Linked DNA regions of Drosophila melanogaster. Each later gene encodes a partner of the first gene's protein in a complex. Each region holds a gene or a part of one and is shown on either strand. Other genes may lie near its edges.

Region 1 (7,141 bases):
CATTAGTCATAATGATTATGAAAAAATGTAATCTTTTTTAAATTTGTTACTTTCACCATTATTTAAAAATAACACACCTTGTCTCTAAATTAAAGTATCATTTACACTCACAATAGTTTCTTCTGTGGACAAAAGAGTTGAATGAACTATGCCCTCTAAATTTCGTCTGTTTTATGCTTTCGGAGTGAAAGAAAGAAAGAATGATGGAAGGCCAGCGAGAATCAGGGTCACAGTGGACATGCCACGTGTTGAAGCAGCCCAAATCTTCAAATGGTTCTCTTTCGCCCCCCTTTTTGGACCATAGAATTCGGAATCGTGGCGTTGCGAGATTTTCAGGTGATAGTGCGAAACTGCACCACTGTGCAATAATGAGAGTGAGAGTGCGGAGAAGAGGCGAAGAGAGGAGGAGAGTGCGCACAAGCGGGATGTGAGAGGGGAGTGGGTGAGGGAGCAGGAGGCGAGTGGCCAATCGCAGCTGGAACACATCAGTCAATAGGAAAATAAAAATAAGCCTCAGATCAGCCGAAAATTGGGTGTACTGATAAGAATGTTGGCTGATAATGCGGCAATTTATGATCCCCGATGGCCATGCCCACTCTCTTTTCGAAAGCAAAACGTCTGCTCTGCTCGGAGAAATTTAGCGGCAACTGGAACCCGCATGGCAACGCTATGGGAAAAGTGCAGCTATAGCTGCCACCAATACCAGTGCAGAACGGCGGAATACACAACCGTTAATACTGACACGCACACATATGCACGAAACGCACTTTGCACTACTGCAACAGCAACAATAATTGCGACAACGCGATAATTAAGGTGCGGACCATTAATTTATGCTCACTCCAGGCTTCAAAAGCCAGTTGAATAGCGGAGAAATTTCGGACGAACGCCGGCTAACGCTTTCCATCTCTTTCCCGCAGCGACGTCGCGTTGGCAGCGTCCTCCTAAAGAACTCTAACTTCATTAACGGCTAACAGTTCGGCCACTTCTACGTGAAGAGTTTTACATTAGTTAGCTGCAGTGTAATAAGCTCATATCATTCTTTTTAGCACCGATTGCAATAAATTATTCACTTTTAGACGGCAGTTCTACAAGTTTATACCTTCGTTTTTCTTTTCACTAAAGCAATGTGACCAGAGTACGTAATGTACTAAGCCAGACCACTTAACTTAAACAGTGTTACCAGAGGTGTGAGAAAATTCAAATTTATAGTGTTTCTGATTTCATTTAAGTTTGAATAATAAGTTTGGGTTAAAAAAGCTAACAAAATAAATATATTACCTATATACTAGTTTTCCAATAAAACTATAAAAGATAAAACAACACACATTCAACATTCACCTTTTATCGATCTGGGATCAGAGCCTTATGCTTGGAATCGAGTGATATACTTAAGTCGCACTCACCAACAAAACCTCCTTTAAATCATCTAGGTGACCTTCGTTTCTCTTGCTTCCCTGCAGTTCTTCGTTCAGATTCGCCACATCTTGCAGAAAAGAGTGATACACAGTCGACGTAGCCAACTCATGGGTAGACGTGGTCCAATTGTCGTCTAGGAAAAGATAGAAATTCAATATTAGATAACACATTAACGTTAAGTGTGGGTGGTACTTTTAAACAAAAATCCAATTAAATGAATTTTCACAGCTGTAGATCGTACTTATAGCTTTCAGAAGCAGTAGACTAGGCAACTGTTGCTTCTTGTAGTTCATGCGCCACACCCTGAGGCAATCATCTCTGCCGCTGCTGAGCAGACAACTAATACAGCCTTCGATCTCATTAGTCTGCTTGGATCCGGCGCTTATTTCCCGGAAGAGCGTAAGGAATATGTTGGCATGCCTCACAGGACTGTTGATATAGTGTTGCTACACACAGGAGGAAGAAAGGTCAGTGAAACAATGGGACAACTATCAATTGTTTTCGTCCTTACAAGCAACAAACGCGCACTACGCTTCAGACTTTGCTGCCATTCCTTGGGCAGGTGGTTATAGGGTGCATTGAGCGCATTGTAAGTGGCAAAGAACTCCTGCTGGTTGATCTGCAGAGGATCCGCTGTCTTCCGGACAGCTGCTGCACTCAGAGCCCGCTCCATATACTCGACCACAAACTTGGTGTACTGCTTTAGCTCCAGGTTGGGCAGCATCAGGTTCTGCCACACGCGAACGCCCTCGTTTAGGGACTGATAGCCACCTTGTCCAATTGCCCACAGGATGCTCAGGCAGATGTTGCTACGGTTCTGATAGGAGTTCCTTAGCAACGCAGTCTTGGCCAGGTTCCTAGAACAAATGTTCGGCCAGTTTTGACCGATCAACTGTAGGATGAGCTTGTAGCCTGCCACTGTCTGATTGTTGTTTAGATCCGTTGACATGCTATCCAGCAGGGAGTAGAAGAAATACTCCAGGTTTTGTTCGCCCACACTGCCCAGAAACTCCACAATTGAGTACTTGAGCGAGGCGCTGGCCAAATTGCTGGGATACTGAGCCGAGCGGCCGGAGAAGATGGGATCGCAGTCATAGGACAAGGCTTCATTGAAGTATAGCGCAATCTGGGGGACAACGATAGGTGAGCAAATATTTAGGCACATTTCCTTTAGAAACATACATGGCTTAACCAGCGCAGCTCGGAGCCAGGACAACTGAGCTTCACCTGCTCCAGTTGGGCAGCAAAATCATCCCGGGTGATGTTTCTCAAGGCCAGCTCCAGAGTCTTTGGCTTCGATGCGGCTGCCGACGTGGTCCTTTTTTGGGTAGAGGCATTCTTTGCGGTGTGCTTTTTAACTGGCGACTTATTGGCTTTTGAGGAAGATGAGGCACTTGAACTAGATTTCGCAGGGGAATGGGACTTGCTGTTGTTGTTGTTGCTGCTGCCGAACAAATTGCGATACCGCTGAGTTGGCACTGCGAAGTGAATAAAATGGCAGGGGCAAACATGTAATCGCATTGCAAGGTGCACCTTTTAAAAGATTCTTACACAGCTCCTCCAGTTTGGGCAACTGGGCCGCGATGCGCTTCTGCTCGTTGTGTGCAGACACCTTCTTGTCCAGATTCTTTTGCTTGCGCGACTTGGAGACCACCTCCCATTGTTCCGACATGTTGCGAGCAGTCTTTTTATCGATGGTATTAAATTAAATCAGAAAATGCAGGCAGCCGGCAGAATAAAAAGCAACAAGCCAAGAGTGTGGCCAGCGCAAGTGTAAAGTAATGTGGTCTACTTTCGGTAGTTGAATTACCGACCGCTTTTTAATGTGATTTTAAAGCAGCTGCCTGCTTTTTGTTGTGATACATGTAATAGATAAATAAATAAATTTAGCTATGTTTTAAATGTGTTTGAATAACTGCCAATGCAGGAGAAACCATTTTCTTTACCAGGGCTGAAACGCATACCAAAGTTGTAAAGCCTCTGCGATATATACTATGTTTGCTACATTGGTCACACTGCTCTGCTTGTTTACATTTACAAATTGTAAAATATTATTATTTAATAGCTGCTTTAAATCATAGTTTCTATATATAAATAACAAAAATGGCTGCCTCGCGATCACGGCGCAACAATGCCGGCAACAAAATAGCTCATTTGCTCAATGAGGAAGAGGAGGACGACTTTTACAAAACGTCCTATGGTGGATTTCAGGAGGACGAAGAGGATAAGGAATACGAGTGAGCACTAATCATTTGAATAAATTTAAATGCTCAAGCCATATAAAATTCACTCTGCAGGCAAAAAGACGAAGAGGAAGATGTGGTTGACTCCGACTTCAGTATCGATGAGAACGACGAGCCCGTTTCGGATCAGGAAGAGGCGCCCGAGAAAAAGCGGAAACGCGGTGTCGTTAACACAAAGGCTTATAAGGTGCGAACCATTCTTAAAATGCGATAAAATCCTGTGATTACTGAATGTGTTTAAATGGTACATATGATTTCCGCAGGAAACCAAGCCTGCAGTCAAAAAGGAAACAAAGGCAACGCCGGCCCTGCACAAGAAACGACCTGGTGGTGGGGTAACGAAACGGCGGCCACGTCCACGCTTCACGGTCCTCGATTCCGGCCGCAAATCCATACGCACTTCCACGGCCATCAAGACACAGGCTACCAAAATACGCCTCAAAGAGTTGGACGATGCCCGCAAGCGCAAAAAGAAGAAGGTGCGCGTGGAGGACTACATGCCCACGCAGGAGGAGCTGCTGGAGGAGGCCAAAATAACCGAGGAAGAAAACACTAAATCTTTGGGTGGGTATCTAAAGCAACCAAGGAAGCAGCTATTTTACAATTTGCTGTTGCATTCACAGAGAAATTCCAGAAAATGGAGCTGGAGAAGAAGAAATCACGTCCCACCAAGCGCACGTTCTCCGGACCCACGATACGCTACCACTCACTAACCATGCCAGCGATGCGAAAGCCCACTCGCGGAGCAAACCCTGCGGTCGATTCAAAGGATCTTGCTGGGAAGTGCGAACGCACATTCGTTACAATCGAGAACGATTTCAATGACAAGGTGTTTCAAAGCCTCTTCCGCCACAAGGCGCCTCCCAAAGCCAGCAATGGCATCTGTCCAATCACCAGGCTGCCAGCCCGTTACTTTGACCCGATCACACAGCAGCCATACTACAGCATCCAGGCCTTCAAAATTCTGCGCGAAGCCTACTACATGCAGCTGGAACAGCAAGGCGGCGGCAGCGAGCAACCCGAACTGGCCAAATGGCTGGAATGGCGCAAGCTGGTCAAGGAGAATCGTCTGAAGGCTTCGGCAGCTGCCAGCAAAAACGGAGATAACTAATAATGCTATCAATTTTATAGTTCATTAAGCTATACGTATTTTTCGAATAAAAAGGTATAAGAAATCACAAACTACTCTTTGGACAACCCTCGTCAATTTCAGGCAGTACCAAACGATTACCTAATATATTTCATACAATGGCGACAATGGAAAAGTAGTACATAGGGTATTTCCCAAAACGTTATCTTTAAAAAGTATTTATAATCAACGCACAGTCTGTTTTGATTTTATTTATCAGCAGCATCCGGTTTATTAACTTAAGAAGTTGATAAAACAGTTTACACAAAAGAAAGTTTATCTTGCTAATCCAATTTGTATATGTAAAACCCATTTATTACCTTTTAGTATCTAATTTTAATTGCCGCTCTATTTAAAAGTTTAGTTGTCTAAATAATAAAAGCGTCGCAGTCTTCTATTAAGATTATTCAAAAGAATTGTTTCGCTTAATTTGCGTCAAATTGATAAGCACACAGCCTCTCTTTGCAATATATAACAAAATCTGGAGGAAATGCGGTTGTTCCGACACACAATAACTAATTAATAAGTATGAGACATTACATCACATAAATTATTAACCCATTGTATTCTCTATTTATAATCTATGGGCGAAGTATTGTTCATTTCCGAATGAAATTGTTTTTCAATCCTAAACTCTTACAGGGAATTAGTTGAGTGGGCCCTGCCGCAACCTTGTCGCATCTGTATGTTTTTGTCGACTTATCAAAATCAACGCACGCGCTGGCTATTTGAATTGTCGGAACGGGAACGGGACAAGGTATTGTGTGAGCAAGATTTAGTCATACCCGTGAGCTTAGATCAAACGAACGTCGTGCGTTTAAACGGAGAAATGAAGAGCTGTGCGGCGATTGGAGTCCTTCTGGTACTGCTACTTCAGTACGAAGTGGTTAGGACGGACAGCGATAGCAGCGACAGCAGCAGCAGCAGCAGTGGAGAGAAGAAGCACAAGCACTCCAAGACGGAGCACAAGTACAATTATCCTGCATATCCTAATCCGGGCTATCCTCCGTATCAAGAAATGGGAGGCTATCCTTCATATCTCTACAATCCGTACATGCCGTATCCTCCGTATCCTCAAATGGGAGGCTATCCTTCATATCCCTACAATCTGTACATGCCCCCACCACCACCACCACCGCCACACCCGCAACAAGCTCCGCCACCATCAATGTATCCACCCGACCCGTCCGGATATCCAGGCGGCTATCCACCGCAGGGGGCTCCCGGACAGAATCCAGTTAACAACCCAAATGCGATCCCCAATCAGCCTCAGGCACAGCAGCCTGCCAGCGGCCCGGGATCAGGGCCTGCCCCGAACTATCCTCCAGGCGGCTCGAGCGTTATTAATCATTCCCTTAAGGTCAACAAGGAATACAACGAGGACGGTCACCACCAATCTTCAACGTAGTCGCAGTCGAGATACAATGTTACATGAAACTTTAAACGTCGGATTGGGCCTCAAGTTTCAAGTCGGCCTTCAATACAATGTAGCAAAGTCGAATTAAAGATTTAAACAGTACTTGGAATTTTCACAATTTTCACAGTCTTTGATTAAATAAAAGAAAGAAATGTTCTCTTACCATTGTAAATAAAGACATTACTGAAAAGGTAAAACGAGATATTTTAGTATCACATATATTTCATAATATAAAAGGTACTTGAATATGTTTTATACACAAATGTACAAAATCATGTATGTACATATTAGGCAGTCTACTTTTCCACTATTGTGCTGTGGTTATACAAGTGCACGTGGTAGACGTAGCTGTTCATGCATTTCTGGATACTGAGCACTAGTGGGTCAAAGGGATGCCAAATAAAGGCGCACAATTCCCGTGGCGCCAAAGGATTTAAATGCCGGCGGGCCGTAGCGTGCAGTCTAAACTTGATTGAATCCGTGGCACGGTCAAGAAACACAATAGGATCGTTGCAGCAGCGATGGGGTTGCTCCAGAGGAGACACGTACCGACTGTCGTATCTAAATTCGTTGAACTTTAGATAGGGCGACGAGGAAAGGCTCTGGGAGCTGAGTGGAACGCTGGGGTTGAAGCGCAAGGCCGTATGTCGATCGACGGAGACCGATTCATTGGAATCCGCAAAGGTATGCCTTAGGAAAAAATGCATGGGCAATGAAGGTGCATCACCGAATTGCAGCGATCGATCATTGCTCATGTAGTCATTGAATTGCAGTAAGATTTGCAGCAGGTTGACGGAATATTCCGGATAAACGCCAACCACTTCTTCGCCAGTTATGGTGTAGAATACATACAAGCGGCGCGGTGATGTAGCCATGGGCATGGTATCGGTACCATTTGGCCGCTCTTCATAGCGCAACATTAGAAGTTCATTG
Region 2 (6,528 bases), on another chromosome or scaffold:
CAAAGACCGAAGCCAAAAGCTCAAAGAAGCTGGATTAGGTAAAATCGAAATATTTTTTCTGCGTCCGGTTTTGATAATATAATTAGAAAATTTCAACAAATAAAAAAGGTGACCTTTTTCAATGAGAAAAAATTTAAAATTGTTTAAAAGTCTTGGCGTGGCAGTGTTGAGTGATTTGTTGGCGTTAGAGTGGGAGTGTCAAACCCGCCATAACCACAATTTTGAACCTTTTTTTTAACTTTTCACATTCTTACTTCCACTATCAGATAGCCGGGAAACTCGACTATAGCACACTCACTTGGTATACCCGTAAATCGTAGTGTAAAAGGGTAAGCTACATTCGTTGAAAATTATGTGACAGAATTGTTTCCGACCATATAAAATATATATATTTTTGATCAGGATCAGTAGCCGAACCGATTTGATCCTGTCCGTCCGTTCGTATGAACGTCGGAATCTCAGGAACTATAAAAGCTAGGAGGTTGGGATTAAGTATTTAGATTCTAAAGACAATGGCGCAGCGCAAGTTGGCTGACCCATGTTGCCACGTCCACTAGAACGCCCAGAACTGCCACGCCCACACTTTTGAACAATTTTTAAATTTCTTCTCATTTTATTCACCAAAATCTATCGAGATCCCAGAAATTATGAAATTTCGAGTTTGCATTTCCACTAGCTGAGTATCGGGTATTTGGTAGTCGGGAAACTCGACTATAGCATCCTCTCTTGGTTTTCATGCGTTGTCCGCAGTGCTGTTTGGCGTTATTTTTGGTAGGCACATAAAGTGCACTGTGCACCCATTTTCTCGGTCTCCCACACAAAATCTAAAGTTCTACGCGGACAGACTGCTCATTTGCGGTACAACAGCCTGCTTGAATGTTTTGATTCTGTGTTTTTGTAAAGTGGTCCGAATTGAAAAAATATGGATACAAAAGTTGTGCGCTTTCAGAATAAATGCCAAAGGGTTATAAAGCCAAAAATGACGTATTGGCTACGTGATAAAATGGTGCATGTCTTGCAACAACCCTGAAAGTGTGTTTTTGCCCAGTGTAGCACATCTTACTCAACCTGAAGATCCATATCATACTACTTTTGATGTGACAATCGACACATGTATCGTAATAAAAGAAAAATCAGAGAAATCCACCAAACGAATCCATTGTTTTCGCAAGGTAAACTACCTGTACTAAGAAATCATCAGATCAAGAATTAGCCGCTACATCTGCCACGTGTTTTCATATATCAAATCAGCTAAATAGCTTTTTATTCGATTTTTTCGAGAAATAAAAAGTCGATTTATTTGTATAGCGATTTCGAATGTTTTGTTTGCGCTGACATGAGGTAATATTGGAGACAATAACATAAGTGATGTCGGTCGAGCATTTAGACGTTTGAGTTCACATTGAAATATTTAATGACGAACCATGTGTATCAAAACTGAAATCGCCTACTCCGGTACTCCGGTTTCGTCTTCTTAAGTTAAAGCTGATATGCAAATATGGATGGATAAGGTGCAGTTGAGATCCAGAGTCGAGAAGAGCGCGACAAGAAACAAATGTTCCTAATCGGTTCATCGCTAATACGGTGGCAGTGGCTACGAGCATAACATCCTTACTAAGATTCTGAGCAAGAAGAGTAGCAGACGTTACGCAGAGTGCAGATGTGAATCAGAAAAAAGTTCGAACCTTTTTGCTAATTTTAATTGATCAGACGGGGTCAGGTTTTTAGGGCGCTCCCAGGAGCATTACAGAAGGCACATGTTGAAGGGCTGAGACTTGGGGCAAGAAGGGCGGAACTACGGAACTCAGATGTTGTATTACATTCTACCTATGGCGCATAGCTTGCCAATGCGAAATCCAGTCTCCAGAGTCCTGCTGCTTCAAGTCTTCCAAATGCTCCTCCTATTTGGGCTGACTCGGCGTGTCCAGCTATTACTTGGGCGATATTGCAATTCAGCGATTTGTTCGATATTTCCAGTTTAAAAACTCCCCCGAACAGAGGATTTAAGAGTCACGAGAATACATCAAATTATTTCCAATTTCGTAAAAAGCCAGTTCTTCGAGCTCGTTGAGATTTTTCTGTTTCTGAAGCTCATCGATTATCTCCAACCTCACGGACAGCAGCTTCCGTTATTTGTTGTACTTCCATTACATATTTGACCCACTTGGATGGTTCCGCTGCCGACAGCTTGGATATGATTGCCAAAATTGATTTACATTTTCTACAATATTTGGCCATTGCCTCTCCTTTCGTTATACATACATGCTTTACATTATGCCTTTCTGTGAACTCCTTTTACGCAATCGAGGTAAATGCTGAGCCTGTATCGATTACAATACATGTTGGAAAGCCAAAAATACTTGACCAGTCGTGTAATCGTCGTCCTGCTGGGCTTTTTTAATACGTAATCTCTGTAGTAACCCTCATACTCTATGGAAAGCGACTAAGGCAGTCAACATGCTTAATTTTTTCTGCGGCACGGTGTTCTACTGTAAAAGTGAAGTCTTGAATTTACATAATCCATGGTCCTACATCTCTCGGTACGTCTTGTTTGGTTGTAGTCTGCTAAAAAGCGACACAATCTGTAATGAGCTTGAACTATATTCCTAGCAGGTAGTGACGAAACTTCTTCATACCTATGTACGCTGCTTTGTCTTCTTAGTAATAGCTATGTCGCTTTCATTCGGCTTCGGAAGTCTTCCTGCTCCAATAATAAACCGGATGAAAACTGCCGTCCACCATCTGCCGCAACACAGCTCCAAATTCATCCTTTAAAGAGCCACTGTGTAGTTCTGTCTCTGCATCTCTTGTGTAAATTTGCCGTACGGGAATGTCTGAGTCGTCTTTTAATTGCTGTATGGCTTAATGTTCACCAATGTAGAAAAGTGCATCTTTTTTCAAAAAAAATTTTCAGCGGACGCGCGATTAAAGCATATCCTGGAACAAATTTTCTGAAAAATCCTGTTAGCCCCAGAAATGATTGTACAGCTTTAATATTTTTTGGCCTGCCACATTTGCCCACCTTCAATGGCATGTCCCAAAAAGTCAATGCGAGTTTGCAAAAATCTGCTCCTTTTCAATTTGAGGCGGTACTACGCAAACAGGTTCTACGGCGACATTGTAGATTGCAGCATAATCTCGTATAAACCATTATTTTCCTTATCCCGCAAAAAAGTATATCCATGCAATGTCTTAAAACAATGATATTTTTTCCCTTTTTTGATCGCACGTTTCGGACATCATTGGACAAAACTCTAGTAAAATTTATTTCTTAGATTTGAGATGTGAGGCGGGTGAATATAAGAAGGCACATTAAAAATCTTCTAATCCGTGCCAGATATAGCCACCGCCAACTGATGCAAAATGGAGTCATTATGGAACAGTATCATCCGTATCAGCGTAAACACTTAAAGCCTAACTTTGATGACATATTTTATTATATATGATTATACCCGTTGCTCGTAGAGTAAAAGCAAAAAAAAAACCTTTAGTTTACATTATTCGGTAACTCCGCTTTGGATACTGCTTGTTTGCATTAGGTGGAGTCTCCCTCTCTGCTTATTCTTTTATCTGAGAACAGTGCTGAATATGTAAGCAGGCCCCAGACAACATGGGTTAAGAAACTTCCGCTGATCAGGATCACTAGCCGAGTCTACAGAGACTTAGTCGCATGTTACCCCGCCGGCAAGCTGTTCAAAACACCCCACGCCCACATATTTGAGAAATCTGTTGAATTTTTTATTTTATGTGACTTTCAAATTTTTATTGGTTTGCCAAACATAATACTACCTAAGAAAACCTACGGACGTAATAAATAATAAATGTGTTTCAAATTTTAAAATTAATGAAGTCGACATCGATAATAAAAATATACTCTTTTTTTGCAATCAAAGTTATGCTTTAAATAATACTTCTTCTGGCAATGTATGCATAATATCTGCGCAAAACTTAAAGTTGCGTAGCACAAACACAATGCACGGTCGTTTTAAATATCAGAAACAGTGGTTTTCAGTTTTAAAAGATTGTTACTAGGGCACCGAAAGGTTTCCCTATAGTACTATATAGATAGCTTTACATAAATAAGTATATAAAATATATTAATAAAATAATTGTATTGTACAAACATAAAAGTTCCGATTATTGGGAGTTACAAATGTAAACACAAAATATTTTCAACTTTGCATTTTAAAAGATAACTACATATATTTAAGCCGAAATTCATTGACAGTTATTTCAACCAAACATGGTTTCTTCATTTAAGGCCCATGCAATGGTGAATTTTAAAACTTACGTGTTGCATTGTATTTTCTTGAATGAACTGAGGTTCGCCATCCTGAAGTATCCGCATAAATATTTTTAAAGAATTATCTAAGAACGACGGATATGCCGGACTTTGCATTATCATTTCAAAGTGTTCACTTAGCTCTTGAGTAGCTTTCAGCTTAAGTTCGTCTTTAGAAGAGGAATCATTTAAAATATTTAAATAATTCCGAAATGTATTCACCGGTACATTTTCAATAACCGACATTGTGCCTTTTAACTCGTTCAACAACTTGACCGCTGTAAACAAAAAGGAATAGTCGGAAATTGTATGACCGATATATTCGATTTAATTGTTTGTCAAGATAGCATATAAGAAATTTTGAAACAGGAACGCAAAAATATTTTAGAAATGCTTCAATTTTTTATATAATATAGAGCTCCCACAGAGATGCATCTATATTAAACCTTTCACAACCTTCAGTGTTAAAAATTGGCACGGAATTAATTCCATCTTATTTGCATGTTTACTGCAGGATACAGGCTTGTCTATCTTTAAGTTAAATTTAAATGTTTTTTATTGCTATTTTATTTCAATAACTGTGTTATTCTATAAATATTTACGTGTAGGGAAATCAACATACAAAATACTAAATAATGTGTATTGTTAGTGATGGATTTAATCACAAGAACATTTAGCTCCGTTTATTTGTGGATGTAGTAATAATTCGGTATAACTAGATTTTTTATTATGTTCTTTAATATAGTCGGTCGAAATGCTCGGATTATTACTTCAATGGTATAATAAATAAAGGAGTGCCAATATTTCAATATTCAATATTCAATATTCAATGGTGGGTCATATCGTCATAGATGACGAAAGAAACGGATAAACCAAATTCATTTTTTCAATAAGGAGCTAATCCAGCTTCATTTAGACTTATTTACCTTGAATTGAAGGCCTGTCAAATTACTTATGCCGAAACAAAAAATCATCATATTTCATTAAGTTTCTTATAACTTTTTAAATTTAAATAAAAACAATTTCGTTTGTTCATTTTTAAGTTTATATTAATTACACACAAAAAATAAAAAATAGTCAATACTACCATATCAAGCCATTTAAAAGTTTCACTGACAAGTGTGCAGCTTTTTTTTGTCAAAATACTTATGCCGACTAGTGTATATTTCAAAAGATCCCTGTGGCGGCCGGCATTGCAATCAACTAAGCATCGGAACGCGACGTTGACACCTAACACTCCAGTGCGGTCGATCGAGCGATCGAACTGCAAGACTTCTAATTATTGAAGGCAATATTAATAATATGACTTCAATGACTTCAACCGACAGCCAAGTGAACTGAAATAAATAAGCTGAGTAATGGTATAAGCCAAAGCATATTAAGAAAAGCAAGATAAAGAATTTTGAAGCCGAGCTCTACAGAGAGGAGCTGTGGTACAAGCCAAAACATATAAAAAAAGAAATTAATAAAAACACATAAACAAATAAATCTAAAAATAGAAGAAAAGAAATTATTACCAGCTATTAAGAAAAGAGCTAGGTAATTAATCTGAGTTCCATAAAAAAATAATAATAATATAAAGGTCGGGTGGAGCAGGCTACCCTCCGCAAGCCAAAGAAGAAACAACAAACAAACAAACGAAAACAACTAATCCCCAAATGTAAATCGGGGATATTATTGAATTAGGGATGGGTAATAATTACAAGACAAATTAAACATCTAATAGTTGTTTTCGTTATAAACCCCAACTCTAGGTCCCATATTGGAAATAAAACCATTGTCATAAAACCGTTTCAGTGCGAGGCGATCGACGGGCAACCCTCCGAAATGAATGGAAGAAATGGCTACGGGCTTTTACAATATATCTCGACGCCGAGGCAGAACTCAACGTTTGAGAGACAAGTATTTAGTATTTAATCTGATCGAAATCATCCTTGCGACAAGACAAGTCAGGACATGTCTTGCGTCATCTCCTGGATCTCCACAATATACGAGTCTAATTCCTTGACGTTTACGAATAGATCAGCCAATTAAACCGCTGTGGAAAGTTTTAATCTTGGAATTGTTAAGGCCCATAGTGAAGTAACTCCTGGCTTGGCACAGGGCAGATGGATTTTCTATTATCTATAAGTCTTCGATTGCAAGTATAAGCACGCTCCACAAACTGATAGGTAGCATCACAGAATCCATGCAATTCAACGGAAGCCTTAGGCCGCATTACGAATCATGGATTTAAAGTTCTGTTC

What was found. The genes of interacting proteins can lie anywhere in the genome.
Region 2: YL-1 (region 1) and Nipped-A share a complex: the UniProt entries of both Drosophila melanogaster proteins name them as parts of the tip60 chromatin-remodeling complex.

What each region holds. Positions count from the first base shown.
Region 1 is NT_033779.5:10,967,032-10,974,172, forward strand, and holds YL-1 (YL-1), read left to right. Parts: upstream 1-3,411; 5' UTR 3,412-3,522; coding exon 3,523-3,656; intron 3,657-3,716; coding exon 3,717-3,849; intron 3,850-3,925; coding exon 3,926-4,226; intron 4,227-4,285; coding exon 4,286-4,773; 3' UTR 4,774-5,062; downstream 5,063-7,141. Other genes in the region: Tmem214 (transmembrane protein 214), read right to left, coding at 1,407-1,552, 1,661-1,865, 1,931-2,545, 2,602-2,897, 2,971-3,091; CG16743 (uncharacterized protein), read left to right, coding at 5,477-6,199; abo (abnormal oocyte), read right to left, coding at 6,505-7,141. UniProt on the Drosophila melanogaster protein: Part of the Tip60 chromatin-remodeling complex which is involved in DNA repair. Upon induction of DNA double-strand breaks, this complex acetylates phosphorylated H2AV in nucleosomes and exchanges it with unmodified H2AV.
Region 2 is NT_033778.4:5,246,438-5,252,965, forward strand, and holds the start of Nipped-A (Nipped-A), read right to left. Parts: upstream 4,586-6,528; 5' UTR 4,529-4,585; coding exon 4,292-4,528; intron 1-4,291. UniProt on the Drosophila melanogaster protein: Part of the Tip60 chromatin-remodeling complex which is involved in DNA repair. Upon induction of DNA double-strand breaks, this complex acetylates phosphorylated H2AV in nucleosomes and exchanges it with unmodified H2AV.